Linked DNA regions of Notamacropus eugenii. The protein of the gene in region 1 interacts with the protein of each later gene in a pairwise test. Links are inferred from orthologs where the notes say so. Each region holds a gene or a part of one and is shown on either strand. Other genes may lie near its edges.

Region 1 (7,941 bases):
TCTGATGCCCTCTTGGCTTTTTTACATATGGCATTTAAAGTAATTCACAGTAAGTCTGCAAAGTGCTTTTCCCACAAAAACCCTGTGACAGATAGTACAAGTAACATGGCCATTTTAGAGAGGACTTTTAATTCAGAAAAAATTAAATTGTTTGTCCACAGTTATATAACTAGAAACTGTAGAGTTTAAAATTTCAACTCAGGTCTCATGACTCCTAGCACTTTCTGTAACAACATGTTCCCTCTTTCCCCATGTTTAATCATTTGTTTGCCATTGTTATGTTAAAAAAGAAACTTTTAAAGAACTATTCTGAGGCATCTGCAAGCAATCATTCATGAGGGTCACAACATCATGCAATCAAAGCATCAGCTATATATATATGGTATTCATTTCTTGTTTCCCTAAGTCACCAGAACACTATGGGACGTGTTTTGTCCAACTACTGTGGTTTTTTTAATTACATAATCACTTTTCAGTTGATAATCTAGGGTTAAATGAATTCCTTAGACTGAAGCCAATTGTAATAATTTTAGATATTTATATATGTATACTTATAAATATATAATTATTTAAAATATACACACATGGCTATTTTCAAACTTGTTGATTTTCCTTACTTTCCAACACTTCAGGGGCTTGAAATTTTGTTGATGTGGTCCTTCTTCCATTGATACTTATTGCAACCCCTCTATGAGTCATATTTTAATCTTGACTGCATAGGACAACAGATGAAAAACTACAGGGCACCTCAAAGATACTCCAGTTCAACTTCTCTAATTTTACATAAGAGAAAACTGAGGCCCAGATGACTTAAATGACTTACCCAAGCTGTAAGAAGCAGAGCTATGACTCCAACTCAGGTTCTCTGACTTCAAATCCAACACTTTTTCCCACTTAGCCATGACTTAGTCTTAGCCTCTATAGCCAAATAAATATGATCACTCTATAGCCAACTCTCTGATATACTTAGGATGATCCCCAGAATACAAATAAAAAGCCCTTCATTGGGCCATATTCAGAATCCTTTTGGCTTGTTAAAATTTACCAGGTTATATGCTCTACCGGTCATGAGTCCATCATCATATTCACTGAAACATAAAATAGTGGAGTACAGTGGAAAGGTTGCTAATTAAAAGGCACAAAAAAATATGGCAATTCATAATTCAGAAAATATCCAAAGTACATTAGACCAAGTACTCCAAACTTTCCTAATCAGCGCACCGGTATTTCTTTCCCCCCTCCTGACCTATTCCCAATGTGAATTTTATTGTAAATATTTATTCTTTGGACTTTGTTTTTTACCTTTGTCAAGGTTTACATGTTGCCTGAGTAGTCTGCATAAAACATTAACTTAATCTGGTTTGTGACAATTACCTGCTAGACTTGGAATTAAGAGAACTGGTTTGTAATCCCAGTTTTACCACTAGCTTCAAGACAATGGGAGTTACTTTAACTTTCTGGTTCTCCATAAAACAGAAACATTCATGTCAACACTATCTAGCTCCCAGGGTAGTAGTAGGGAAAGTGTTTTGTAAACTCTAAGGAGTCATATATAAATGTGTGCTATTAATAATATTTTTCAAACATTAATTTCCATGAATCATTGACTGGAAAGCAGTACCAAGATAGAAGGGGTAAGGAAAGGACTATGATTCCAAAACTCAACATAGCTTATTTCTACATAGTCCCAAAGGAATATGATACTCAGGTATTTATTTCTTCAGTGACAGGAAGAATATTCTTTTACATTGTATCATTAATTTTATAATAAAATTAAAATGTTTAAGAAGGGACAGCTTCTCTAAAAATAAACAAGCACCACACATAAACACAGTAATATGTTTTCTGAACATTTATGGATGGAACTGGCTCCGAATATTCACTTGCAACAATTAAAGATACTGTATCAGTAATTCTCAATGTGCCAACAATAATGCAGAAACCAATTCCATAAAACCCCAAACACTGGTTGTGAGAAGTCATTGATAGTCCCGTAAAGATGGTCCTAAGCATATTTTTTTCCATTAATTTTTAGGGGCAAATTTATAGGGGTAAAAAAACCAAACAAACACAAACTTGCTCACTATTTTGCCTAACAATACTAAGAATACCTCTAACTTAAAAAAAAATTAAAAGCTGTTTTCCATCTATCACCGATCTCAATTTGTCCTAGACTTCAAAACACCCCCTCAAATAGGGCATTAAGAAAAGCTAGTCAAAGACTTCGAGAAGTTTAAAGACCACGTGGGAACAACCTTTCTCCGCAAGGCTGACGTCACTGCAAGCCTATCACTTTCGTGTCCTGCTTCTTGGGGGTCTCCCTGGGATGGTCAAAGGTTGCTTGCAGACAGATTAGGGCAAGGAAGGTGGGGGAGGACAGGTGGTGATGGGGAGGAAACATGAGCATGAGAAAACCAGGGGCGCCTTTGACCTTCGAAAACCTCCACAGCTTCTGAAGGTCGGCAGGGTTTGCGGGGGTCGGGGTCAATTTCCAGCGGGCACTTTCAGGGTGACGTTCTTTGGCTGGCCTCCTTTTCAGGGGAAGGGAGCAGTGGTCTCATACAACCCGCGGGGGAAAGGAAAGGTGGGCTCAGCACCTGCGTATCGGCTGGGGGTCGGGGGAAGGGGGCACTTCAGCCTTCAGTTGGGGGCAAAACCAGGGGAGCCAAAGGCCAGAATCGCCTGTTCTGGCCTCTACTGGGAGGGGCAGGGCTCTGGGACACTCAGAGCACCCCTCACCTCGCTAGGTGACCCAGACCGTCCTTGACAGTGACCAGCAGGGTCTCACACCTGCGTCAAGAACCAGCACATGGTGGGGGAGGGAAGAGGCGGCGGAAAGCAGCTGTACCTGGAGAACACCCACGTACCTATCATGGTCACTGGGCAGGTGGTGGCTCTAAGGACAGACGAAGGAGGCTTAACATGCGCGCAGCGGCCTGCCCCGAGGGCCCGCGCTCGCCTCCTACAACCAGCGTTCACAGCTTTAAAGCCTTCAGCTCCCCGCTCCCTTTGTCCCCGCCCCCTCCCCGACCCTTCCCTACCCCGCCCCCTGAAGATGCGGGGGCGGGGGGGGGGGTGAAGAGGAGGTAATGCGCACGCGCATGTATACGCACACGTCCCTGAGGGCTTCTGGGAGATGTAGTGCGGAACCTGCCGCTCATTTTCTAATCCGCCCCGCCCCCGCCCTTTTGCCGGCTCTTGGCCTGGAATGGCTACGTCATTGGGAGACTTCCGCTGCGATGTTGATACGTTGCCTAGCAACCTCGCTGAGGACCTTTGGAAGCCTGTTGCAGCTGCAGAATACGGTCCTGCCCCCCTTTCTGCCCCTCCCCTTCCCCAAACTCCCTCTTCACCTTGGAGCTGCCAAACAGCTGGAACTAGAAGCAAACCCGGGCAGGACCTGGAGGGTTGAATTCATTACCATTACAGTGCCGTTTTTACTCTCCATAACCCCACTCCGGCTGTGTCTTTCCCTCCCTCCCCTCCACCGCCCAGTCATTCTTAAAGCCCTGGATGTGGGAACAAGACATTTCCTAGGAAGATGGTGGCAGAAAAAGAGACCCTGAATCTAAATAAAAGTCCAGAGAAGATGATGAAGAGGACCAAACTCCAGCCTCCACAGCCACTCCCCGTGCACCAGCCGCACACCCTGGTTTCTGACGGCTTCACTGTCAAAGCCATGATGAAAAATTCAGTCGTAAGTGATAAATCTCCTCGATTCCATGCGCTCTCTCCGAATCAGGCAGGGTACACGGAGATACAGGTGCACGGTCGCTATCCGGAAAGGGTTGGGGCAAGTGAAACGCGGTGCCCGTCATCCTGCGGTGATTGAATAATAATAAAAAAAATAACGTTTTGATTGATAAGCACCTTCCCAAGATCTCACCTGATAGTCTTCAGGCCTCCCACCCTGCTCCAGCTGCTGCTGGTCTGAGGAGGATTTCCTTCCCCTGCCCCCACCCCAGATTCAAGACCTTTCACTTCATGAATTCCGAGTTTTACATGAATCTCTTGTAAAACTGTCAAGCCGACATAAATTCACTCAACTATCAGACAAAATAATATTAAAAGCAGAAAATTTTAAGCTGTCCAAACCCCCATTAAATATGGATGTATTACTGAAGTACAAAATATTTCAACTGTTCTTCCTAATACAAACTTTAAAAGCCTGGCCCCCTCCAAAGATGCCCAAAAACTGACCTTTCAATTAGATTTTAATCAAATTTATGTCTGCCTATTGGTATAATCAAAATATTATTTTGATAGTATTTTTAATACTATGTTTGTGCTCTTTAGAAATAAAATAATCTTAAGAGCAAAAAAGAGGGAAAATAGTCGGAGTATACAGTAAAACAAAGTGTATGGATGACTTCTTTACATAAGCTTAATTAATAAATTATGCCTCTCTTTGATAAATGATTTTGAATTAAGTATAACAAACTAAATTTACCACATAATTGGGAATAGAACTTCAAGTAACTAAAACAGCTTTCAAAGTTGTATAACTTACACTGGTAGAATCTGAGTAGTTATACTGGAATTTATCTTTTCTCTAATGTTACATTAAACCCATATACTTATTTGTATCTATGTGTTACTCATACAGTAAGTTTATGAAATGACTACCTTTTGGACAAGACTATTATGATGTTATACATAGTGTCTCATTTAGAATGTGTGTGTGTGTGTGTGTGTCTATGTCTGTGTTTCTTGAGGTTTGGGAAAACAATACATTTCTGTTTACAAAAACCTCATTCTTTTCATTATAAAGTAGAAGTTATACTTAAAGTCAAAAGATTCTCACGTATCACCAACATACAGTACCAAATTTATTCCACTTAGGAAGATGATTTATTTTTCTTTTATCTAATATTCATAATTCCTTGTTCATAACCTATTTTACTAGTTTACTGGAATTTTATAAGACTGTATAAAACATTTTCTGTTTTCTCTTTAATGACATTAGTTCATGCTCATTACAAAGTCATAATTCATAATACAAATCTGTATCTTCCAACATACTTAGACCTTTTGTTATTTAGCATAACCTCTCCTAAAGAGTGTATGGCCTAGTAAAGTCACATATTTCAGTACTTTTATTTTTCACAAATGTAACTCCATCTTCAAATAACAATTCCTTTGAGGAAGATTTCTTATAAATACCTTTTCTTGTGAGGCGTAAGCATCTTCCTTTATTTATTGCTTTAATATATCTCCAAAGTGATTCTGAAAACATGGGTCATTTCTTGTTATTCCTTTTGGTGGAAAGTAACATTTTCTGTGAATAACAAAATACAGAAAGTTTATTTGAAAGTAATAGAAAAGATAGGTAAATAAAAGGGAGGTAAATAATATGTGTGAGCAACTTGTAGTAGCAGCCTGCACCCTACTAAGTGTGATTGGACCAACAGGACTTTCTTCATTTCTCTGGCACTTACACCTGACCATTTCTTTTTTCAGCAATATAGACCTTCCCATGATTATGAAGTTATTAACTCCAAAGAGTGTCTTTTCTAAGGTTTATCTTCAGTCAATGAATGGGATACAGCTTGTATCAGTTTTCAGTGACATAATAATCTAAAACTCTGGGCAACTTCTCTTCTTCAACTCACCCCCAGTTCTTGTGTCCGATTTTTCAGTCTTTAAATAAGTCACAATTACAACGCTCCATATTAAAAACATATGGCAATTTATCCTAAAGAGTTACCATGGGAACTCCTGATGCTCCTTTTAGAATGTTTTGGTCATATAGATATAAATCTGATCATAATCACAGAATCAAACAGATGGACTGTATAAGGAGAAATACTTTATATGTAATCATATTCAATAATAATAAGATAATGTAAAGTTTTTGTAAAATAAAACCATATAATTTATCTTTTTACATTCAAAATCTATATGTATATAGTCAAGCATTCTATGTACCAATATACCATACATATAAATATACCATAAATATAAATTATGTGAATAGTAAATCCATATTATTCTTGTAATTTCTTAGCTTTCATGGAACTTTTTAGTTGTTCCTGAATAGCAAATGACTTCCAAGAAACTCTTTATTGTACTTTGAGTAAGATGATATGCCTTTATTCCATTATTTTGTAATATTTGCCTGAAAGTAGAGATGGGAGGAAAAATGACATGTAAATAAAATGGATGATTTCATATTTTTTCTTCTTTCCACCTAAGCCTCTACACAATACTTTGGCATAGGTATAGATATCTGGAATAGGAGTTAGTTTCAGGCAGATACTGCATGATACTGCAAGGAGATATGCATAATATCCAATTCTTGTCTTATAGTAAGTCTCCATTTCCTTTCTAGCTGAATGAACATGGTGTCAGATCAACATTCAGGGAGAGCAAGGAGAAAGAAAAATAACTTCCCAGCTTCTCTTTTACATACAGGAAATAGCTTAACTCTTGACATGTCTGTGATCCTTCCCTAATTTCTTCATTTCCCTGGGATCTTAAGATAGTGATTGGTGGGAATACAGGGCATTATTTGTTAACTCCACTCACATACCTCTGTTGGGAGATCTTTGAGAATTGTAATTAGTTGAAGCAGGGAAAAAAATAAGAAAAAGTCTTACTCTCATTTGACTTTTTAAATTTACTTGCCCTCATATAGTTACTAACCTGTTCTCATGACCTTGATTGAACTCTGCAAAAATGTTTCTTCTTTGACTATTGTATAACCGTAAATATATAGGCATATAGGTAGAAAATCAAAATTCTGATGATATCGAATCTGTTTTTATCAAAATTATTCTCCATGTTTATATAAACTAGTCTCAGAAAGATTTTATAGAGATTCAAAGGCAAGTGTATGGGTCAGTGGTTGTTGATGTCTGTTCTATCACATGTTTCTGCTAGAAAAAAAAAAAGCTCCTTTTTGGCAAATCTCCCAATCTGATGCTTGAGGGAATTTAAAAATTGTGGTGTTTTCATTATATATTTTCAGTTAGGTTCAATCACTAATTCCACCTTCATATTTATCAATGCCAATATTATTTCTTGTATGGAATATCAGTGAATACTGAGGTAAAAGTCCAAACTTTGTGGTTCCACTATCATTATCAGTGAAAATAAAGCCATAAAAATTCAAGAAGATTTATTTCATTTGCAACTATTTGCTATTGTCTGGTATGAAACGCAGTTGTCAAGATCATCTAGTTTAGGTGGGTCTTAGGAAAAGCTCTCCACAGATTAATTTTCTCCTCATTTGCTTTTTAGAATTTAATGAGATTATTTATACTAGTTCTGTCCTCCTCCTCCATAATGTTTTGTAAATGAGCTTGCACCCTAAATATGTGTTACTCTACTCCTCCAGTTGACAAGAAGATTACACATGTTGATTGAGCAAGATTTCTGGTTCCTTTTGACCTCCTTATTATGAGAACTATTTTGATTCACTCACATTTTTTAAGGAATGGTATCTTTACTTTTGGAAGAAATTTTTTTTTCATTCTTTTGGTACTGAGAACTTGTTTGAATTGTTTAGATTGAAGCATATTCTCACTTTTGTCACTTTTTCTGATTTGAATTATACACGGATGATTTTGAAAAAAGTGACACATTTTATTTTAATGATAGAGATATTTTACAAGTAGTAATAACAAACCATCTTTATGATAAATTCCCTGAAAATTGTGTTTACCTATCTGTTAACAAAAAGAGGGTAAATATTCTTTAACTTGCATAGCATGAAATTTTAGTGCTTCTCAATATTACCTTGTTGACAACATTGTTGAAGTTATGTGTGTATATACGTGTTTGTGTGTTTCTTGTCTCTAATTCGCTCGCTTTCTACAACTCTTGATTTTTTCTGAATTCTTTATATTTGTAATACCGTATGGTATATATTCCATTATGTTCATATAATATTTTGTTTTCAGTTCCTTATTTACATAAGATCTGCTAAGGACATTTTTG
Region 2 (7,631 bases), on another chromosome or scaffold:
TTCCAATGGCTGTTGTTTAAATGAGAGGCCATTTTTAAAGCAAATTCCAACCACCACACTCAAGGCAGTAACTGCAGAGGGAAGAAAAGTTTCAAGGGGCTTTTTTCGGTGGATGTGTTCCTGTTTATATGGCCAAAGTTTCCACTTCCCTCTTAAGAAACTTTAGTTACAAAGGTTCTATTTGTTTGTTTTCATCAAATTATTCCTTAAAATCAGTGCCAAGAACAATGTTACAGGTAGTGGGGTTTGACATACACTTAAAAGACAATCTTGTCTCATGATAACCAAAGTCTCCTTCTAAGCTCAGTTTCTTTAGAGGAAAAGGTTGTGAAATTGAGGGAAGAGGGAAGAAAATGAAAGAAAGTTTCATCACCTTAACATGGAAGGCAGACACCTTGGATGACATGAGAGTCTGTGAAATATATTTAGGTATTTATCAGGAGGCCAGTTATACCTTTGTGGAAAACATTTTGAATCAAACCCAGTTCTTAAGAAGGAATGGAAAGAAGAAAGTTTAGTTAACAGAGCTTGATGATTCGGATTGTCACACCTGGACACAATAGATCCATCCACATTTTCTCTGTGGAAAGCTTGGGGGAAGGAAAGGGAGGGAATTGGGTAGAGACAAAAGTTTCTTTCCTTGTCCTGCTGGGTTCTGATGGTCCAAACCATTCCTATCTGGAGTGGCAAGCTGGTGTATATTAGCTGCCAATCCAGATGTATAATATGTCACAGGTGCCAAAGCAGGCAGATTGGTATACTGTATACCAGCTCAAAAGGGCAGACACAAGCACTATCCAGACTAGTCTAGACATTCTATCAGCAGTTTTTCACCCACAAGGGTGGCAGATAAGTTTAAAAGTGTGTGCAAAGCCTCTAGTAGAAGCTGGAAGGGTGAGACAGGACGTAAGGGAAGCAGAAAAGGGGGGAAGAAGGAGTGTAGATCAGGGAGGAGAGGGTGTGCTGAGTAATGCCTTGGGGCAACACACCCACTTAAGGGGTAGCAAGACCAGTGGTGGTGACCCACTGCAAGGCTTTATTACCTCGAGATAGGGCACGATCTTGCAGGAGAAATCCTCTAGAAGCCATTTCTTGGTGAGCTCATGGAAGATGACCAGCGGCAGGCAGAAAAAGATGATGAGGAAATCCCAGAAGGCCAAGTTGGCCAGGAGGGAGTTGGAGATGCTCCGCATGTAGTAGTTGTGGCACACGATGCACATCACAGCCAGGTTGCCGATGATGCCAGTGCCGAAGATCACCACGGACAGACACATGACGGCGTAAGCTCCGTAGGACTCTCGGGTCAGTGGATAGAAGGGGTTCTTGAGCTTGGGGCGCCGGTTCGTGCCGTTTCCCCCGCGGGGGACGCTCCGCTCCTGGAGTGCCTCTCCAGAGGATCCATTTAAAGGCAATACCTTCCCCTCGGTTGCCACTGTCTCCTGCGCTTTTTTATCCACATTGGCTGCGCTCCCCAAGATGGGGGAACTGGTCAGGGGATCACCGCGGGATTTCCCAGCTCTCCTCCACCTGGAGAAAGGTTCCGGGGCTCCGGAATGGGTCTTGACATTCTGCCCCTGGCTGCCTCCTAGATCAATATCCTTGCCACCTTTCTCTTTATCCGTCTCCAAGGAAAGTCTAAGGGCAACCGGCAGCTCAATCACCGCTGCTCTGAGAGGAACTAGCCAGATGCCAGGCCTCCTCTCTGGGGGCACATGAGAAGTCCTGTGAGCCCCAGTCAGTTTCCCAAAAGGCGCTATTAATGTATTTCTTTCTTTTTCCTCCTCCTCTTCTTGTGCTTTGGCTACAGCTGCTCCCCTGGGGCTGCTGGACAACACTTTCTGCAACACGTCTCCCGATCCCCAAACTTCCCAACCGCGCTGCTTCGGGGTCAGAGCAGGCAAGGCTGTCTTCCCTAAACTGGTTTGGTTCCCAGAGGCTACGGCGGGAGAAACCTCAAGCTGCAGCAGGAACGGGAGGAGTAAGGTGAAGACGAGGGGCGCGCCTGGGGGCCGCATGGCTCCGCTTCACTCGGCACCTTGGGGGCTGGCAGTGGCAACAGTGGCTCCTTAGGACCGGCACCTGCTGCCCAATTTGGCGCCGAGAGTTAGACACATGTCACTGCGGGGATGAGCTCCTCGGCGCTCGGAGGGTGCCTTCCTCTGGGACCACGAGGAGGGTTAGGCTGGAACCCCCTACACTACTCCGTTTGACATTCTGTTCATTCCCCTAACTAAATCCAGCTACGCGCTGAGCACCACAAGCGTGGATGGGAGTGGGGAACCTCCTTCCTCTTCGGAACAGGGACTGACCTTTGAAAAGTTGCAATCAACGCCTTTGACTATTAACAGCATTAATGTTACAAGTGGGAGAGATAAAAAGCCCCCACTGAAACCCAACGCTCCTCCCTTTTTTCCTGTGATTCTGCCTTCTTGGTAACAGTTGCTCTGGATCTCTGGCTGTCTATTTACAGCCTCTTGATGTTGCTTTATCCCGTTGCAAGCAAAGGTCTCCAGAGACAGGGAAGAACGTCCCCCTCCCCCAGACGATTGCTCGCCTTAGACAATCCTCTTCCAGAACCTCTCTCCTAGTAAACAGGTTGCGCCGAGCCGTGCTGGAAAGCGAGTCGCCCTAGAAAACTGGCTCCGCCTGACGTTGGGGACTAGCTCAGCTATTGCGGTCAAGGAGAAGCGAAGTGGGGACGCTAGAAGAGCCCAGCGGCAAGAGTCAAAGTTGCTTCCTCTCCTGCTCCAAGTTATCCGGGGAGCAGTCCAGGCTGTCCGGCGACCAGTCCCTGAAAAGAAGGACGACGCGCGGGTCAACCGGCGCTCCTGGAGAGCTGACAACACTGGCACCCTCAGGAGCATGAAGTGGAGACTGACTGGCCGAGCACTCGGGGTGAAAAGCGTTAGGATTGAAACAGCTGCGACCGGGGCGGTGCATGGCCAGGGGGAAGGAGGAGGGCTGAGCTGTGGTTCCAGCTGCTGCCGCCGCCGCCGCCGCCGCCGCCGCCGCCGCTGCGCGTGGCTGTGGGAGCGCAAAGCTCGTCTCTTCCGACTCCTCCTCGGAGAGATGCTGGTTTGTGAGGAGACGGGTTCCCCTGGTGGTTTAGGGCTCACTAAATCCTCATACGCTACATTCAAGCCCTTTGTAGTTGCTTCCACTTTCGGGAGGAGAGAGGGGTGGGGGATGCGGTGACGACTGGTGAGGGGAGGATGGAGAAGCCAAGCCCCCCCAGGGCTGGGTTTCGGAGCTAAGGTTGGGCTAGGTTAGTTCTTCCAGCTGTTGGAACGGGTCAGACCGGTCTGATTGCCAAGGGAGCAGGGAGGGGCCGGACCGGGCCGGGAAGGTGCCCACGGACGAGCTACCAAAAGCTATCTTGCCTACTGAGCATGCCCAGGCCAGAGCCACTGGGAGTTGCAAGGTGCGGCTCGCACTTCCCCAGGTTTTCCCAAGGGCTGAAGGAAAAACGAAGGAAAAAGGATTTACTGTTACTGGGAGTGAGGAGGACAATAGGAAAAGTCTCAGTAGCATAGATCCGCTCTTACTTGGCTACCAAATTAGCAAGAGTCCGTCCTAGGGGATCGTAAATCCACACAAAGGACGTTTGGAGTAGGATCTGTTTGTGGAGAGTGGGAAAAGAGAAAAAACTAAGCCCCGCCTCCGTCCCCACATAGTGTGTGGGCAAATTGGGTGGGTAGTTAAGCTTTCTTGTTGTTTGAAGAAGGGATACTATGCTAAAGCCTAAACAGGCTCCAGTTTTCTGATGCCCTGACCCAAAAGAAGAGGCAGCTTCAGGCTCCAAAGCTTTTTTTCCCCAAGCTTTGCCAGGAAAGTCTCTCCTTCCTCCGTCCCCCGCCCCCCTTCTTCGTCTCTCCAAGGAACAGCCCTTGTCTGTTTTCCTTACCGGCAGCAAAAGGGACTCAGGAAATTATCCGAATTTATAACCCTCTGGTCAGGCCTGAATAACAGATCAGTGCCTCCCCTAGCAGATGCCAATAATAATAATACATTAACATTCCTAAATTCACACAGCCCAGTATTATCTGAGACCATGCCAGTCTATGCTTAAAAATGTAAGAACTGGAATCTGACATTTCCATTGCCTGCTTTGACACTAAATTGAAAGAACAGCTTGAAGATCTTATTCCACCACAAAGTTACAAAGAAAATGTGTTGGGGCTGATACTCAAAGTATGGAATATAAAGAACAATCCCGGTAATTAGTTCACCTTAGAAAACCTTTGTTATTGGACCCTCAATTTCACAGTAATTAGAAAGATAAGACATGACAGATTTTTAGATGAAGGAAACAAATGAAGTAAATGAGCCAGCAATACCAAGGGAAGGAAAATGGGGGAGGGGAAGTTGGCCAAATTCCCTCTCTACCCACCTTGACCATTTCTTTCCAACGCTGAGTATGCCCTCACATGCCTCACTGACTAGCCATCCCATGGGTTAGTCTTTGGGAAGGGGGTAGAGAGAGGAAATAAAGGAGGAATGAGAAAAGTAGAGATGCTCAGAAGTAACAGAATCTGAATAAAAGCTGTGAAAATAACTGCAAACAGGACTTTTCTCTCTCTCTCAAGATTGTTGCACTTATGTGCAAATTTAGTCTTTCTAGTTATAGAATGTTTGTTCTCTTGCCTGCAACCAAGATGGGGGTGGGGAGGGGTTAGAGGAAAACCCTGTTTTTCAGATTCTCCATTCTCACTAAACACATCTATTTTGAGCGGAGCATTATTCCCCAGAAGGTAACTGGTAACTGAGACACTTTTCCATACTACATTGAAAAATCACACAGAAAAGCAGACTTAGAGTGAAAGGGGCACTGAATTTGAAGTCAGAGTCACTGGATTCAAATCTATACCCTGTAATTTATCACCTACAGGGCCTTAAACAAGTCATTTTTACCTGTTTAGGCCTTAATTTATTCATCTGTAAAAAATAGTAATAATAAAGGAATTGGATTAGTTGATGTTTCAGGTCCCTTCCAACTCTAAATTCTAATATTCTAGAAATATCATGAACTGTCTGACTCTTTGTGACCCTATCTGGGATATTCTTGGCAAAGATACTGGGATGATTTGTCATTTTATTCTCTAGCTCATTTTACAGTTGAGGAAACTGAGGCAAATAGAGTTATGTGACTTTTCCAGGGTTACACAGTCAGTCAGATTTCAACTTAGGTTTTACTGACTCCAGGCCTGGTGTTCTACCCACTGTACCACCTGGCTGCCCTCCTGGCAAAAAGTAGGTAGTTAAAAAATGCCTCTTGATTCTTACAGACCTATAAGAATACCAACCTCTTAGTCCATAGCATCTGTAAACAATGATTCATCATTTCTTTATTGGGATTTTAAAATAATGCTTCTAGACAGAATTCATCTGAGTCATTTGTACTCCCTTTTATCTCTTTGATTTTATTAACACAGAAAATAGTCCCCCAAAACAACTGTATGTCTTAGAGATTTGATGGGTCTATGCACTTTGAGGGAGAATTTACCCAACTTTAAAAAGAAAAAAACTATAGAAAATGTAAAACTCCATAGCTATTGGCAAGTGTATCCTCCAGTTCACCACTTGGAGCCTTGGTCTGCCAACCAATCACTGACTTGTCAAAAAAAAAAAAAATGAGCACTTTCCAGAGTGTGACCATCACAAAGAAGATTATATATGAAAAGTAAAAGATAAAGTCTGGCCCAATTAGTAAACTTATTTCAAATAAAGTCATAACATCAAATATTTTATTTAAGTCTGAAGACTTAAAAAAAAGAGAGAGAATTCTTCTTCCAATGAAAAGAATATACATTGAATAGATTCACTATTCTCCCATAAATGAGAGAAGGTGAGACTCAATAGCCACTCTACTCACTTTGAGTCCCTCTGTAAAAATATAGATCTGAAAAAGAGATGACTAATCATTGTCTAGTTTGTACCAGCATCATTTGTCTATATTATAAGGACTGATTTGAACATAGACTTAGCTATGTCAGCATTCCATTGAGCTTGTAATACATAATATTGATTTTTGTACACAAAAAACTACATATAAATAATGGCCTCTCTTGGTATTTCTGTCTAGTTTATTGCACCTTATCCAGCATTTGTTGTGATGAAGAGGAAATATAAAATTAAGGAATAGAAGTGATTACTTTGAAGTTTGAGATATTAATTTGGCTTGGGTGAATGCAATCAGATTTCTCACCCAATATACTCTTCTTCATACATGGATTCCCGAAGCAATGTTTTAATTCCATTCCCTGAATTTAAAAAGATATCTAGTTCATATATCCAAGAGAAATGACAGTATGCAAGCAATGACATGTAATTTTTAAAATTGGGATTTTAAAATTGTGCTTCTAGAAAGAATTTATCGGAGTTATTTGTATTCCATTTTATGTCTTTGTTTTTATCGTTCTTAATTATTTTTATTTCGCAGATTGCTATTTAACAAGATAGAAATCCCCAGCAACTATCTTTCTGAGGCAAATAGGTGGCATAGTGGATAAAGTTTTGGGTCTAAAATGGAGAAGATTTGAGCTCAAATTTAGCCTTGGACATTTACTAGCTGTGTGACCTTGGGCAAGTCATTTAACTTCTGTCTCCGCTCAGTTATAAAATAGATAATAATAGCATTTAATTCCCAAGGATATTGTGAAGATCAAATAAGATGATATTCATAAAATCCTTGGCACATGATCGGTTCTTAATAAATACTTGTTTCCTTCCTTCTTTTTGTTCTTGTGACCACAGCCTTAACCAGGTTAGGGTAATTGGAATTTTGCCTTATGGCCCCTGAAATTTAGAGAATAAATAATGCTTGAAGTATATCAGCAGCACAGGAACAACTGTGCTTATGATTTAGCAAGGTGGAGTGCCTTATTTCCTCTGACCTCTGAACATATTCCCTAGGTGACTGATTCTCTGTTGCATCTCCACCTGCAGCAAACTTCCCCCAGCCCAGTAGCCTTGCAGGTGTCACAGAGTCTCCACCAACATCCACTCCCACTAACTACAGAACTGAATGAAGTGCATATTTTATGCCAACCGTTCAAAGAAAGTTTTGTGCTATTTGCCCCAGTGCAAAACTTTGTCATGGCTCGGCTTGTGACAACAGTGGGAAAAAACAAAGCAAAAGAGCTCATTAGAGTTAATGAGAAAACTGGCAGTGCTTTGGGAGAGACATCAATGAAGTGGTCTGTTTCTTTTCAATTAAATATCATAAGTAAATTGCTATTTATGTCAGAAGAAAACATACAGTTATTGTCATACAATCACACTAGTGTAAAAGATTAGTTCACAAATTACCTGCAATATCCTTTTAACATTCAAGAGCCTAGGTATATTGGAAAGAATACTGAACTTTTAGTCAGAAGATCTGGGTAAAACTCCAGGCTTTGCCACTTCCTAGTCACATGATGTTGGTAAATAGTTTGTTTCTCTGAAGCTAGCCTTGCTCGCCTGTGAAATAATGACACTATTATTTTCACTTGTAGGAAGTCTTCTGAGGATTACATGAAACAATACGAAAGTGCTCAGTACATGATGAATTCTAAAGGTACTTTAAGTGAATTCATGAAGGTATAGGGAAGCATTTTGAGATCACCATCTACCAAAGGAAGATGGTAGAA
Region 3 (7,188 bases), on another chromosome or scaffold:
GATAAAGGAACCAAATCCACAGCTAGCTGAAAGTAGCCAAGAAAAATGACCTAGAGTTACCTGGAGAAGGTTTCCTTCACTGTGCTTGATTAATGAACCTCATGGATATAAGCAGACACAGCATAAAATTATCCCTCCATTTTCTAACATGGGTCCTATGTTAAAGCATGTTTGGGAGGGGGAATCACACTAAGGGGGCTTACATAATGAGCATGTAGAGAAGATGGTGACTTAATGGAGAATGGACCAATCCATCTCCTGGTGGGAGGATCTGTCTTGAACTAACAGTATATGGCTCATCTCACTTCTGTATTCAGCACTCTCTCCTCCTGAAAAGAAGGCGGGGTGCTTTGGTCAAAGTGTTCAATTCCTCTGAACTCTACTGTAATAAATTTTCCTTGATACCTTTTTAGTGTCAAGAGTGTTTCTAACACCTATCACAAGCAAAATTTCTATAAAACAAAGATACCTAAGCTTTATCTAAAAACCAGATATTTCAAAAAGTGTTACAATCAACAATACAGGATAGGGAAAGAACTTGGACAATCCTTTCAGCTAATTTTAAATTTCGATCTGTGAATATTATGTAGGATTCCTACAACACTGGTGCTAGAAGGGATCTAAGAAGTCATGTAGTCCAATACCCTCATTTTGTAGACCACAGATGAGAAGCTAGAAGGGACCCCGAAGGTCATCAGACCCAAACCTCTTATTTTGAAGATGAATAAACTAAAGCACAGAGAGATAAAAGGACTTGCTTGTGACTTCTGACTCCCAACTTCAGTGCTCTTTCCCTAGTACCAATTTAACAGATTACCCATTCACAACAGATGAAGAATGAATAGTGTAAGAGTATGCTTGCCCTCGTACCTGAATGAATGCATTTGCTTGCAGACACTTTGCATTTTCCACTGTAACCTTGATTCCATTTGTTGTTGCAAAACAGGTAGCATGGTCTTTAAAATGAATAGCTTTTAATATGTTTGAGAGATTCCTTACATTGTCAAGGCTGGCAACTAAAATATATTGATCGCTTCCATCTTCAGTCTGTGTGGTAAGTGGCATTTTCTATTCCACATAAGTTTCCTTCCACTGGGTTTTCCTAATTTAAACTGGAATTAATCAGCTGTCTGCCTTGGTAACCTATAACAAAAATAAAATCTAATTTGAGTTCAGTGACTCCAGAAAAGAATTGCTTCAGTTGTATCCCCCTCCAAAAATGTTTTTTTTTTTTTTGCCAACCAATTTTGTTTTCTTAGCAAAATGTATAAGCACAACTGTTTACCTCTCACTCCACCCCCTCCAACTGCAGGAGAAAAAAAAATGTGTAATGGAAACATTACTAAATTAGAAATCAAGAGGCCTGGACTAAAGTGTGAGTTGTGCTATTAAAGGACTTGTGAAGTTGGGAGTCACTTCTCTGAGGATGTTTCCTGAAAAATGCCCTAACTGACTCCCATAGGGCTGTTCTAAGAATAAAATAATATATTCACATTGTAAAACATTTTCACATGATTTCACAATCACAACTTGGATTTTTTTTTTGGGTGGGGGGGGGTGCCAGACCTGTGAATTCATTAGTTTGAAAAAGTCCTGGTGCAGAAACTCACTCTAGAGATGCAGACAGACAAGTAGTCTACAATTTATAATTGTAAAAAGCTGCTTGGAGCACTGAAAAGTGAAGTGACTTGCCCAGGTTACTTGGCAGATGTGTTTCTAAGGGAGGACTTGAATCCAGGTCTTTCAGATTTCCAAATTTAGTTCTCTATCCACTACTCCAAAGTATCTGATGATAGTATAAATTTTATACAAAACATTAAGTCAGGGGAAGTGACTTGTCCCAAACTACATCTCAGCTGAGTCAAAGCCAGGATCTAGGCAAGTTCTCCCCATTCCCCGTGAAAGGAACATGGGGTTTAGAGCTGGAGTGATTCCCAGAGATCGTTCAGAATAAACACCGTATTTTACAGATAAAGCGGAGGTTGCGCAGTGTAGCTAAAACAAGTCACTTAATCTTTGTCTGCTTCAGTTTCCTCATATAAAATGAGGGTCTCCTCATATAAAATATGTATCCTCGTATAAAACGAGAATAAAAATAAATGAGAAAACAAAAAAGAGAGTATAAATATAATAAAAATATAATATGAAAATAAATGAGAAAAAATAAAAATGAGGATATAAATGTAATGAAAATAAACATAATGTAAAAATAAATGAGAAAATAAAATAAAAATGAGTCCGAATACAATAAAAATATGATATAAAATAAAATGGGAATAAAAACACGTCCCAGGGTAGGGGGAGGACCAGAGGCGACGCTTCTAAACCGCTTCGCCCGTTACTACCGTTATTATCTTTGTAACAGGCCCAGAGAGGTTCGCCGGTTAAAAAGCTGGCACACCAAGGATCCGAACTCAGATCCAAGCTCTTCCCCAGTATTCACGTGGCGCTCCCAACGGAGCACAGCGCTAGGGCGGGTAAAAGGTTCTGTCTGTCTACACCGCCCCGACCCAGGGAGGAGACGGAACACACCGGGGGGGTCCTCCGGCTCCTCGCTTCTTCCTTTCCGGCGCGGCTCAGGGGTCCCCTCCTACGGAAGCTTTTCCGGATCCCTCCCGGTGCTGGGTGCTCCCTTCTCCTCCTCCCTTTCTCTCGTATCGACTCATCTAAGCGTTATTTCCACCTCCGGCTCCTCCGGGGCAATGGCTGTTTGTCTCCGCGGCCCCACTCCTAGCTCAGTGCCTCACTAGCCCAAATATCCGTGGGTAGGAATAAATTCCCAGTCCCGTACGATCCTCGCAGCGTTCCGAGAAGCCTCGGCTCCCCTCCGCCCCTCCAGTGCAGGCCGGCCTCAGGTGTACCGTTTTTCCCGCCCCCAAGGCCGGAAGGAAGCCCCACTTCCGGCTTCCGAGGCGGACGGGAAGTGTCGGAGTCTTGGCTTGGTTCTACTGCGCTTGCCCAGACCCCACGACTACACAGTGCGACAGCCGTAAAGGAAAACCGGGGTTGGGTTGAGCTACGGAGGAAGCATGTGCTTCCACCCCGCCCCCTTCCCCGCCCTCTGCCCCGCCCCCTGCCCTGCCCCCAAACGCTTTTGGTACCATAGAGACGGGAAAGAGGAGAGAGAGGCAAGGCGGCAAGGAGTGGAAGGCGAAATGAACAACGTGCGACCGCCGGAAGAAGGGGGTCTGGGCAAGATGGCGGCCGTCAAGAGGAAGCGGCATGGAGGAGGGGGTCCCGAGGCGAAGAGGCCTAAAGGAAAAGGAAAAAAGGCCGGAGCGCCGGCCAAACAGCCCCCTCCAGCCCCAAAAAAGGCAGAGGAAGAGGAGGAGTACCGCATCCCGGGCCCCGTTTCCAAGGTACGAGCGGCAGCTGAGGGTCTCGCGTGGGAGCGTGGGCCCCCGCGTGACCCCAACCCGGTGTTCTCCCCGCCAGGGTGCGGCGGCCTGGCGATACTCGGCGCGGTGCAGCCCTCGGCCCCCCTGTCCGCTGTCAGGCCGGGCTCGCGGCGGCCCGCGCACGTGGTTGTCGCTTGGGAGCGCAGGCCGAAGGGCCTGTCAAGTCAGCCTGCACTTATTAAGCGCCTACTGCATGCCAGGCGTTGTCCTAAGCATGTTTGTTTTAAACAGTCCCTGCGCAAGGAGTTCAGTCCACACGAGTTCAGACAACGTACGAACAGCTAGGTGCCACGGCCTACAAAAGAGCTGGATTGGGGAGGGGCGTGGGGGGGCACGAAGGTGTGTGGGCATCCCTGCCCCTTGTGTCCGGGCTGTTGTTAACCCCAGTTCTCCGCTGAAGAAGCGGGGGCACCCCGAGAGGAAGGGGCTTGCCCAGGGTGGCACAGCTAGCGTCCGAGGCAGGATTTGAACTTAGGTCTTCCCGCCTCTGACAGGGCTCTTCCCTGCCCTGACGGGTTGTAGGCAGAGGAACGTTGGGGTTTGTTTAAGGTGGTTCTGTTACTGGACCACGTCTTACTGGACCACCGCTGAGGTTCGAGCTTGACGGAGGTTCTGGAGAAATTCCAAAATAAGTCAGGATTTCTGCTGTGCGTCTTCCTTCGGGGCCTCCTGGGCCCTAGATGTTGTGCTCGGGCTTAGGGATTTTAAACATCCATCCAGAAATTCACGGTCACGGAGGACGAAAGGGCAGCTGACATCCGGGAGTCGTGAAAGGTCCGCTGTGGCCCGTGAGCTGGACCTCCAGGGGAGCCAGATGCGGCCAGGGTTTGTGGAAAGGGCAGAGCATGTGAGAGGGGGACGCTGCAGTGTGGACCATTGGGGGTGAATGGGTCTGGAGAGAGAGAGTGGAGCTAGTGTGCAGCTCACTTAAATGGTCAGATGTGCTGCGAGTGCAGAGGAAGAGGAGGGGGAGAGGCCTTTTAAATTGGCCTTGAAAGGGTGTTGGGATTTCTGTAGGGGAAGAAGAACAACTTCAGTTGGAGAAGGTGACTGACAGGAACAAATGTGTCAGAGTGGCACAAGTGCCATGTGTGTTTTTTGGGGAAAAATAGAGTTCAGATTGGAAAGAGTGAGGAGTTCATGGTGGAGAGTTGAATTAGGAAAGGGAGGATGCAGTTAGACTGTCAGGAGTTAAGGGGCTTGGTAAACGATGAAGCACCAGGGGAGTGATGTGGCCAAAGAAGAACTTTGGGAAAATTAATCTGGCCATGGTGTTTTGATATATTGAAGAGCTGGAGCTCTGGAGGCAGTGTGAACAGTTAGGAGATTATTGACCTCATCTGGGTGTTGACACTGAGAATAAAAAGGAAGATATGGAGATGAAGGAAAAAATGGGCAGTTTGGATGTGGGGGCTTACAGAGTAAGAGAATTTCCTAAGATTTAGTGCCAGAAATGTATGGTAACATACCCAAAAGAGTCTGAGGAGAAATTTGTTTGAGGGAATAGAAATGAGGTGCATTAGTTTGAGGTATAACAGGCAGAAATATAAGAAGTTGGAGAGACTGGAGATTTAGTTATCCATCTACAAGCATTTATTAAGTTTCTCCTATCTTTGAGGCACTATTTTAGGCATGGGGTACAAAGACAAAATAGTACTTGCCATCATGAAGCTTATATTCTATTTGAGAAGACTGTGTATACAAAATAGATATGGGGAGGAGAACTAGCAGCTGGAGAGATCAGGAAAGAATGTAGAAAGTGGCACTTGCTCCAAGTTTTGTAGGCAACAAGCTGTCAAGAGGCTGTTGGACTCGAAGACTTGTTCTAAGGTCTCTTCCAGTTTTAAATCTGTGATTTCAGGAGGACGTAAGAAGGTGTTTAGAACAGCCATTGCAAAGGTACTGAGTTGAGAAGTGGAGTGTTGGCCTCCATCAGCTTGGTTGTGTGATGCTGCATATCTCCAGTCTTCAGCATATGAACAGGAGTGGAAGCAAGTGGCAGATGATGAAAATAATCCATGGATAGGTTTGGTAAGCCATGAGGATTGATAGGGTCAGGGGTCAAGGAACAGTATAATGCTGAACTGGCCAACTATAAAGTGGAGATTGGGAAGGGGCAATAAAGTGGAGCCAAAGCAGAAAATCAGAGTTAGATAGCTTGAGAAAGTATCGAGGGTTGGGATCAGAAGGCACAGGGATGATAATTAGTAGGTTTAGCAGAGGTAAGGGAAAGATGAAATTAGAAGAGGTTAATCTGATAAAAGGGATTTTGGAGTTTTTGATTCTGAATGGTGGTAGTTGAAACTATATGCTTGGAAGAATATCTTTCAAGTCTTCTATCACCAGTTACCTGTGAAGATATCTCCAGGTGGATAACCTGTAGACAATTCAAATATAAAACAGAGCTCATCTTTCTCTGCAAATCTGCTCCTCTTACTAACTTACCTGTTTCTTTTTAGGGTCCTGCTTCTGGTCTTTCAGGTCTGCATCCTTTTTCTCCATTTTTTTCTCACCCCTCATGAAATTCATTTGGCAAGTCTTGCTGATTCTGTGTCTACAGTATTTATTGTAGCCATCCCCTTCTCCCCATACCTGGCTGCCATCCAGGTTCCGATGTTCCTTAACCTCTGTCTTGGCCTATTGCAGTAGTTCCCAAATTGATCGTCAAGTCTTTCCCACTTTCCGTCCATTCTCTACATTTATCCTGAAAGCATCTGACCTTGTTACTCTTCTGCTCAGAAAGCTCCAGTGGCTTTGTCTTACCACCTCTAGGATAAAATACAAACTCCTCTGTTTGGCTTTTAAAGCCCCTTACCATCTAGCTCCACATTTCAACCAAACTGGCATACGCTGTTTTTTCTTGTGTTTGAAGCTTTTCCCTACCTGGCTTTAGCCACGTTCTGCAGGCTTGTTATATACTTTATTCCGCTTTGTGTTCTCCGTGTTCCAGCTAGCCATATTCCACTTTCTGCCTTAGATCTTTCCCAGATCATCTCCCATATCTGTATGCTCTCCCATCTTGCCCTCAGAGCTCATCGCAAGTGCCTCTTGTCCTAGAAACACATCTAATCTGAGTTGATAGTGCTCCCCCCAGTAATTAATTAGTATCTCCTTTGTATACATATTTTATTCACTTTTCTGTGCACATATTTTATTTTTCAATACAGATTGTAAGTAAGCATTATGCAGCTCTTGGAGGGGAGGAGTTGTCTTATATTTATCTTATGTCCCTGTACCTAATGTTTTTTGAATGAATGAAAAGGGAAGAGGGCTTGGAATAAAACTGAGAAGGTCCATTTTTGATTAATGAAAAGCTAAAGAATAAGTGACAGAGACTTAACAGGAATGCAAAAATGATAGATTGCCTCAAATGCCAAGAAAAAAGTTGTAAAGAGGGTGAAGGTTGGCAACCGGCTGGAAAGTAATTGATAACCTATGATATGTATCCTGATCATTTATCCACTTTATTACAAATAGTTCTATTTTACCAGGTGTTACCATTTTTTCTTAAAAATTTCAAGCATTTGAAGCCTTTTGTGTGCAGAGAATTGTTAGTAGCTGAATGAGATAAAAAGTTTAAGATGGTGTCTCTACTCTCAGGAGAAGCCAATAGGCTTTGAGGAATCAATGACACATGCACTTACATGTTAAAGTTGCTTTTCTAATAAAAGTATTGAGTGGTTGAGTAGTTTTGAGGGAGAGGTGTAGTTATTGTCCATAGAAAGACCAGGAAGACTGGAAGGTAGTTGCTTTTGAGGTAAGTTTTTGTGGTACTTAGCAAAAAAAATTA
Region 4 (6,851 bases), about 190 Mb from region 1:
AAATAGAAATGGACAATGGTTTGTTAAGTTTCAGCACATCATATTAATGTTGAATAACTAAATTTCAGATGTCATAAAATACTGGGCATGAATCTAGAATAGTGCAGCTTCATACTTCTAGCTTTGTAACTGTGGGTCAGTCACAACTTCTCAGAGTCAGTTTCATTATTTGTAAAAACTGGAGATAACATTTGAATGGACCAGTTCAAGGAAGCTGTTGTATGGAAAGCAGTTAACATATTTCAAAATGCTATAATGATAACAGCTAATATTTGTCATGAAAAAATATTAAGGACCATGCCCTAATACTCTAAAGTTAATATTGGGGGAAAATATGGAAAGTTATGGTGGGATAAAAACTTTTGTCCTATTAAAACAAAAGAATATTTGCCCTTCTTTTCACTGGAATTCTGCTAAGAACTTAAAGTATTCAAAATTGTGCCAAAATGAAGGATTATTACCTCTTTTGGAGCCTCCTTTTCTATGAAGTCAGTATAAATTTTCCGAGCCTTTGAGTTCAACTTCTGGGGAGACTTGGTTTTCTTGAAGTCTTCACAAGCCAGCCAGAATTCTATGTTTTCTTCACAAAACTCAGACTTTAAAAAAGCCCTAAATGCAGCAAGACCATCTAGAGAGGAGGGAAATGTGAAGAATTTATTAAAATAAAAATGTCTTACATTACTTTCTGTTATTTATCTTTTCAACAAACCTAAGACTTCAATACAGGATTTTCTATGTTGCAGTAACTTGCCAGAATTTACTCAAACTTGCAAAGCTCTAGGTTTCAGAGTTTAAATGCCAGCAGGTAAATTTCTTAAGGTTGGCACATTGCCATTCCAGAGCACCTTCAAATATATAAAAACTACGCTATCAAGGAAAAAGAAATAGCTCTGGTGGAACCATAAATCCTATTGAACTAAGCCCTTTGAAAACATTGTTTGCAAAGGAAAAGTTGACTCAACCTTAACTGTGAACAAATGCATTTGTAATCAGGCTGAGTCTCACTCTCTCACTCTCTTCCCACCTGAGGATATTTTACTGGAGGTATAACAATACACACAATTCCACTGGTTATTAAAAAAAAAAAAGGACATTTGTTTGAATTTAGGGCAGAACTTCCTCATAATGAGGGGAAAAGAAAAAAACAACTAATCCAAACCTTACTTATGTTACAGGACTTGACCCTGGAAAACAATTGCAATGTCCAACTTCTAAAAATACATCAATCTAGTTTATAATCCATGGATTCAGCTACCGAGATTAAAATCACTTCAGATTGAGTTTAATATTTCCACTTACATTTACTGGCAAGAAGCTCATCAAAAGTTTCTGACCACAGCTGTGCTTCTTCAGGAGAAGGTCTGCAAAAATGAGTGCATACATTTAAAAAAAAATTTGAATTTCTCCTACTTCAAAGAAAAGGCAAAATGCACATTAGACAAAAGTCCACTGTTAAGTTTGGGATCTCTAACTTACCTAATAAAAGCTTGCTGTTTGCCTTTCTTGTTGGCTTTTGGCTTCTCAGGTGTGGATGAGTTTTGAAGGAAGTAGCTTAAACGTGTCTTCCAGTCTTTTATGCTAAAAGGAAACAATCATATTCAGTGAGTGATGATGCTTTATCATTATAGCTGCCCACATTTTACCAAGTACTTCTATTCATACCAGAAACAGAATCTTAAACGACAGAAAGACAAATAAGACCTTACCAAAATAAAAACCTAAGCACTGCAGTGAAATGAACCTTTCTGCACTAATAATGTTTAAGCTTATCTTGAATGATCTGAACATGGCTTTTGGTTTTACTGGTTCATTAAGTAGCCAAGGTGAGGTTGCTTTAATGATTGAGAAACTTTAAGTCATCCTAAAAGTGGTGAATGAAACAGGTTTTCCTTTTGGCCAGTGTGAAATTTTAGTTTCTGCAACACTATGACAACTCTGGGCCATTTTCAGTCATCTGGTGAAATCTACTTCAATGACACTGAAATGAGTCAGAGCAGTCTAATTAGTTTCCTCCTTACTCCCCCCCCCCCCCCTCCAAAAATTGAAGGCTTTGGATAAAGCCCTACGTGGAAAGTTTGTGCAACAGTTCTCAAAAGCAATTCTAAGTTTCTCCTTTCAAACAAAAGAGCTTTAATACTTTCTAAGAAGAGAGAAGCCAAAGAAGTAGGTCTCCTAGTTTAATAACTCTTCTCACTTGGGAAGTAAATTCGTAAGCCCAGCACCTGCTGTATCAATAAAGGCATCCCTGTCCAAGGAGCAAGATAGAAGTCGGGCAGAGCTACCGACCTGGAGAGTTAGAATACGGAGAAAAAGGCTGGAACTCGGGAAGACAGGATTTTCAGGCTACTTTTATTTTTCTTTAATGAGGGAGTGGAGGGAGTATGATTTCTTCTTTTAAAAATCGAGGAATGTCCGGGGATTAAATGCATCCCAATTTATTCTTCTTGGCTTAAATAAGAGAACAAGACCCTCCCTCCCCCTAACTGTGATAAATAAAAACCGCTACAACCTTACTTTAGTCTCCTTTAAAGACTGAGATACAGCCTGTTATAAAGTAACCTCTTACTATGCTTTTCTAACCGGGGGAAAAGCTTCCTGATGCCTAGTGTTTCTGAAGAAATCCCATAAAAGGAGAAGAAATGGGAGTAGGTGGGAGAGATGCTTACATCGTGCGCTTCATCTTTTCTCTCTTCTCTTCGCCCTTTGGGTAGCTGCTGGCACTTTTCTCCATGGAGCCGCAGTTGGGTTGGAAAGCCAGGAACATAGCACTTTGCATGATACAGATCCGAGAACTGGGCTGAAGACGGCAGTCGCCTCTGAAGGCTCCTCCTGGAGCCGCCGGGCTTTATAAGACTCGGAGGCTGGGGAAGGCGAGGGCGATGGCGTTCGACTCCGCCCCGCCGCAGAGAGGATTTGCTGGGAACAAAAGATATGTCAGCGACCGCCTCGGGAGTCCCCGCCACCCTTCACTGGGGCTGGAGCTGAGGACAGTGCTGACGTGAGTGCTCCCTGTGAGTTCATGCGCAGTGATGCCAAAACGGAGCTGGAAACTCTGAAAGGGTTTTTTTTTGCGGGGTGAGGTGGGGGGGGGGGGGGGGGGGGAAGGGAATAAACAAAGATCTCTCACTGTATGGCTCAGGCTGTTAACCTTTTTCGTGCGTGCTGCGGGGCTCACCAGACGAACCTGGAGCCACCTTGGATGGAAAGAGCGGTTCTTGATTCAGGGAGAAAGGAGAGAGATGGGCACGACTCGGTGTGCTCCCCCTCTTCTTCCCACCTCCTCACCCCATGAGCCAAAAGACACCTCATAAGAATCGTGTTTGAAATCTGGGCTTCAGCATCTCCGCCCTGGTACATCTCACTCCATTGTATATTTTAATTGAAAAGTGAAGCTTTTTAACTGAGAAAATTGCTTTAATTTGTGAACTGTCAGAGACTTTTTTTAAAAAAAAGTCAATCCTTGTTTAATTGATTGGCTCAGAGCCTAGTAAATTACTTTCCGAGACTGATTAGTTTAAAGCAGTCAGTACTTAGAACCAAACTCGCCTCACCAAGTATTATGCCTTTCATTGAAAACTGTCTCACCTTTTTCAAAGGGTGTTCGGAACCCTGCTGTGGCTGACTTCGGCCAGATTGATTCTGAGATACATTCATCTAACTCAGGTCTCAGCTGGACGCTTTCCTGCCCCAGGTCAGTTCCTCTACGTCTGTTTAAGGAACTGACCTGGGAAGCCCTTCAAGATGTCCTTAAAACGTTCGTGTCAGGGCAGCCTGGTGAATGCAGTTATGCTGAATGACCTCCCACCTGGACCTTCTCTGCAGGGCTCCCAAATAGGATTGTGTCCACCTTGTTCTATTTAGGGGAAAATCTGATCTAATCGGGAAGGGGAAGTGCTTACTTTTGACACAGCCATTGTAAGAATCTCAGGTTTGACCAACACACCTAAGACAATGTTTGGAAACAGGAATTGTTCAAACAAAAAAGTAGAAGGAAGGTGTTAGTTTATCAGAATACAATAATTGAAATCTAGATTTCATAGATCTAGAGCTGAAAGGAATCTCAGAGGTCATCTAGAGATCAACCCACTGTTTTAAAGATGTTGAAAATGAGGTCCAGAGGTTGTGATTTGCTCAAGGTTAGACAGGTAGTCAGAGGCTGGTTGGGTTGAATCACAGACCCTAAGGATGGATGTCTCTCTGACCACATCTCTTTATTCCACCATGTTAGATTTTTAACTCTTTTGCCCCTTAGTGCTAAGTACTTCCACTTAATGCTAAGCACCTACTATCAGTTAAGCAAGGTGGTGAAATGGATAGAGCACCGGGCCTGGAGTCAGGAAGACCTGAGTCTTCAGATCCAGTCTCAGTTACTAGCTGTGTGACCCTGGGCGAGTCACTTAACCCTGCTTACTTCAGTTTCCTTATCTCTAAAATGATCGAGAAGGAAATGGCAAACCACTCCAGTATCTTTGCCAAGAAAACTCCACATGGGTTCGCGAAGAATTGGACACAATGACAGATTATTGAACAACAACGACTGATTTATTTTCATCCATCGCCTGCTCATGGCTCTCTACCTCTCCCCTCTCCTCTCCAATATTTTATCCTGTAGAAAGATGTAGGGATTTTGGCTCTTAGGTGTGTTGGAAGTGTTTGTTCATGTGTTTTGGTGGAACAGAATGTTTAAGCTGGAAGTCATTGTAGAGGCCATGCAGTTCTGCCTCCCTTTTGCAGATGTGATAACTGAGGTTCTTGGGGCAAAGTGACTTATCCAAGGCCACTTAACAAATAAGTAAAAGATACAGGTCTCAAACCCAGGTCAAGTTTAGGGTTCATTCCATTATATATGCTTATTAACCTGGCTCAATTCCAGAATCCGTATAGAGAGACCGGGGTTCATTCTGAACCATGTTATTTTTAGAAGCATAGGCGTGCAGAGTAAAATTTTCCTGTACATTTGACATTTGGCAGAATTAGGATGTACAAGTATTTTATGTTTCAATATATTTGAATATTATGTATTTAACCTTTCTCAAGTTTTTGACACGGAGTGCTGACCATAAAGAAGAAAAGACCTCCACGGTACTATAATTTGCATTTCTCTGCAACACCTCCAGAATTGAGCATAATCCTATTTATGCTGAGGCAGCTCAAAAGCTTTCACTTGTCTATCATGTATCGTGATAGTTAATATTAATTGATTTTATGAAATGATTGTGTAAAGTCAGTGTTCAGTTGAGGAAAATTAAATTACTGCCTACTCATCAGATGTGTTCTATCCTCTGTACTATACAGTTCAACTCTGTGACTGCAGAGAACATCTTTATCGTGCAGCGGAATATTCAGGTGCCTTTTATTTCTCCATCTCCTCCCCTCTCTACCCCACCTCCACTTGCACACAGTGTGAAAAGAACACAATAGATATGACAGCTGGGACTGGATCTATTGTATCAGCTACATTATCTTTGCAAGGCAAATGGATAATTTTGCCAATGAACCACAAGTCTTTGTTTCCTATGTAATTCCAAATCGTTTCCTATCAAGAATCTAATCTGATTGTAAAAGTTACAGCAAAGTATTGGCATGGTTGCAAATCTCACCTTTCTTTAGACTAAAGTGCAGTTATGAGTGAACTATAATTATTCTTATGTTCATCTGCCAGTAGCTGGAGCTCTAAGGATGGAAAAAATACATGGCCACGGACCACAGGGGCAGAAGCTTCACCTATTTTAATAACAGAAGAATAAGGCTGTTGTGTAATCCTGGAAAGGCACTTGATTCTGAAACGTTAGATGACCCACAGGTATTTAATTTATATTTTCCCTCAGTCTCTTGGGGAAAAATTAAGGAAGTAAGAAGCATGCATGCTTTCTTTTTCTAATACTGTAAAATGGTTTTTGTATCTCTATCTCTTCCCTCTTTCCATATGCTCCTTCCCCCATTCCAGCTTTTATGTATGCATAATTTGGAATCTTAGAAGGTATAGTTGAACTGGGATTCATGGAAAACCAGTAGTTCAAATAAGATTAGGAAATAGGATATGCATAATTACAGGTATTAAAATATTCAAAGAATTTTATAAATGAATTTTTCTAGGAATTATGTGTACTAATTATAACATAATTAAAATTGTCTATGACTATTACAATATTTAGGAAAGATGGTAAGAGTATTGTGAGTATTTAATTTTGATAGTTAATATAGTTACTATATTGTACAGAGAATCTACATTAAAATGTATTTTTGCAGGAATGGTATTTAATAAAATAAAGATTTTATTACTGCCCTTAAATAGAAAAGTGCTTCATTTGATTATATGCTTCTTTATTTCTTCTTGCAAATAGACTTTAGTCAAAGTGGATTACTTAATTTGAAAATGGCACATATTTTCCATCCTGTGTTGGTAATAAACACAAAAAGCAATAAACTTCGCTCAAGTCTAGCAGCCTGAGAACTTGACTATGTTCTTGTTGAAATGACCATGCCCCCTACTGGTAAGATTTTTGACCAAATACAGAGAGATCCAGCTCCTGGATTTATTTTTAAATTTTTATAAGATTTAAACCTGTTAAGGATACTATTGAATCTCAGATCTGTTGAAGTATTATTTAACTAATACCTCAATGATAAAAGGCTAAAATGTTAGCCTTTGACCATATATAGAAGAAATAAATAGAAAAAAAAATTCTAGCCCAGAATTTATACTATTTCAGGAAGCTCAAAAACTTTCACTTCTCTTACCATGTATTGTGGTAGCTGATATTAATTGCTTCTTATAAAAGGAACTTGTGAATTCCACACTACTTCCCACTCATCAGACGTGCTCAGAAATAGTCCTCATGTTCTATTAA

What was found.
Region 2: the proteins of PRKN (region 1) and GPR37 interact in a two-hybrid assay, tested with the Homo sapiens proteins (2 studies listed by BioGRID). The link is inferred for Notamacropus eugenii from reciprocal best matches to the Homo sapiens genes PRKN and GPR37.
Region 3: the proteins of PRKN (region 1) and RAD1 interact in binary tests that used the Homo sapiens proteins (3 or more experiments, as listed by UniProt). The link is inferred for Notamacropus eugenii from reciprocal best matches to the Homo sapiens genes PRKN and RAD1.
Region 4: the proteins of PRKN (region 1) and RGS2 interact in binary tests that used the Homo sapiens proteins (3 or more experiments, as listed by UniProt). The link is inferred for Notamacropus eugenii from reciprocal best matches to the Homo sapiens genes PRKN and RGS2.

What each region holds. Positions count from the first base shown.
Region 1 is NC_092873.1:256,731,381-256,739,321, forward strand, and holds the start of PRKN (E3 ubiquitin-protein ligase parkin), read right to left. Parts: upstream 3,012-7,941; 5' UTR 2,875-3,011; coding exon 2,868-2,874; intron 1-2,867. Other genes in the region: PACRG (parkin coregulated gene protein), read left to right, coding at 3,542-3,697. UniProt on the Homo sapiens protein: Functions within a multiprotein E3 ubiquitin ligase complex, catalyzing the covalent attachment of ubiquitin moieties onto substrate proteins. Substrates include SYT11 and VDAC1.
Region 2 is NC_092874.1:126,116,381-126,124,011, reverse strand, and holds the start of GPR37 (prosaposin receptor GPR37), read right to left. Parts: upstream 3,002-7,631; 5' UTR 2,016-3,001; coding exon 1,044-2,015; intron 1-1,043.
Region 3 is NC_092875.1:426,526,514-426,533,701, reverse strand, and holds the start of RAD1 (cell cycle checkpoint protein RAD1), read right to left. Parts: upstream 3,001-7,188; 5' UTR 2,533-3,000; intron 1,144-2,532; 5' UTR 1,066-1,143; coding exon 871-1,065; intron 1-870. Other genes in the region: BRIX1 (ribosome biogenesis protein BRX1 homolog), read left to right, coding at 3,030-3,359. UniProt on the Homo sapiens protein: Component of the 9-1-1 cell-cycle checkpoint response complex that plays a major role in DNA repair. The 9-1-1 complex is recruited to DNA lesion upon damage by the RAD17-replication factor C (RFC) clamp loader complex.
Region 4 is NC_092873.1:449,848,760-449,855,610, forward strand, and holds the start of RGS2 (regulator of G-protein signaling 2), read right to left. Parts: upstream 3,001-6,851; 5' UTR 2,777-3,000; coding exon 2,667-2,776; intron 1,579-2,666; coding exon 1,477-1,578; intron 1,362-1,476; coding exon 1,300-1,361; intron 629-1,299; coding exon 462-628; intron 1-461. UniProt on the Homo sapiens protein: Regulates G protein-coupled receptor signaling cascades. Inhibits signal transduction by increasing the GTPase activity of G protein alpha subunits, thereby driving them into their inactive GDP-bound form.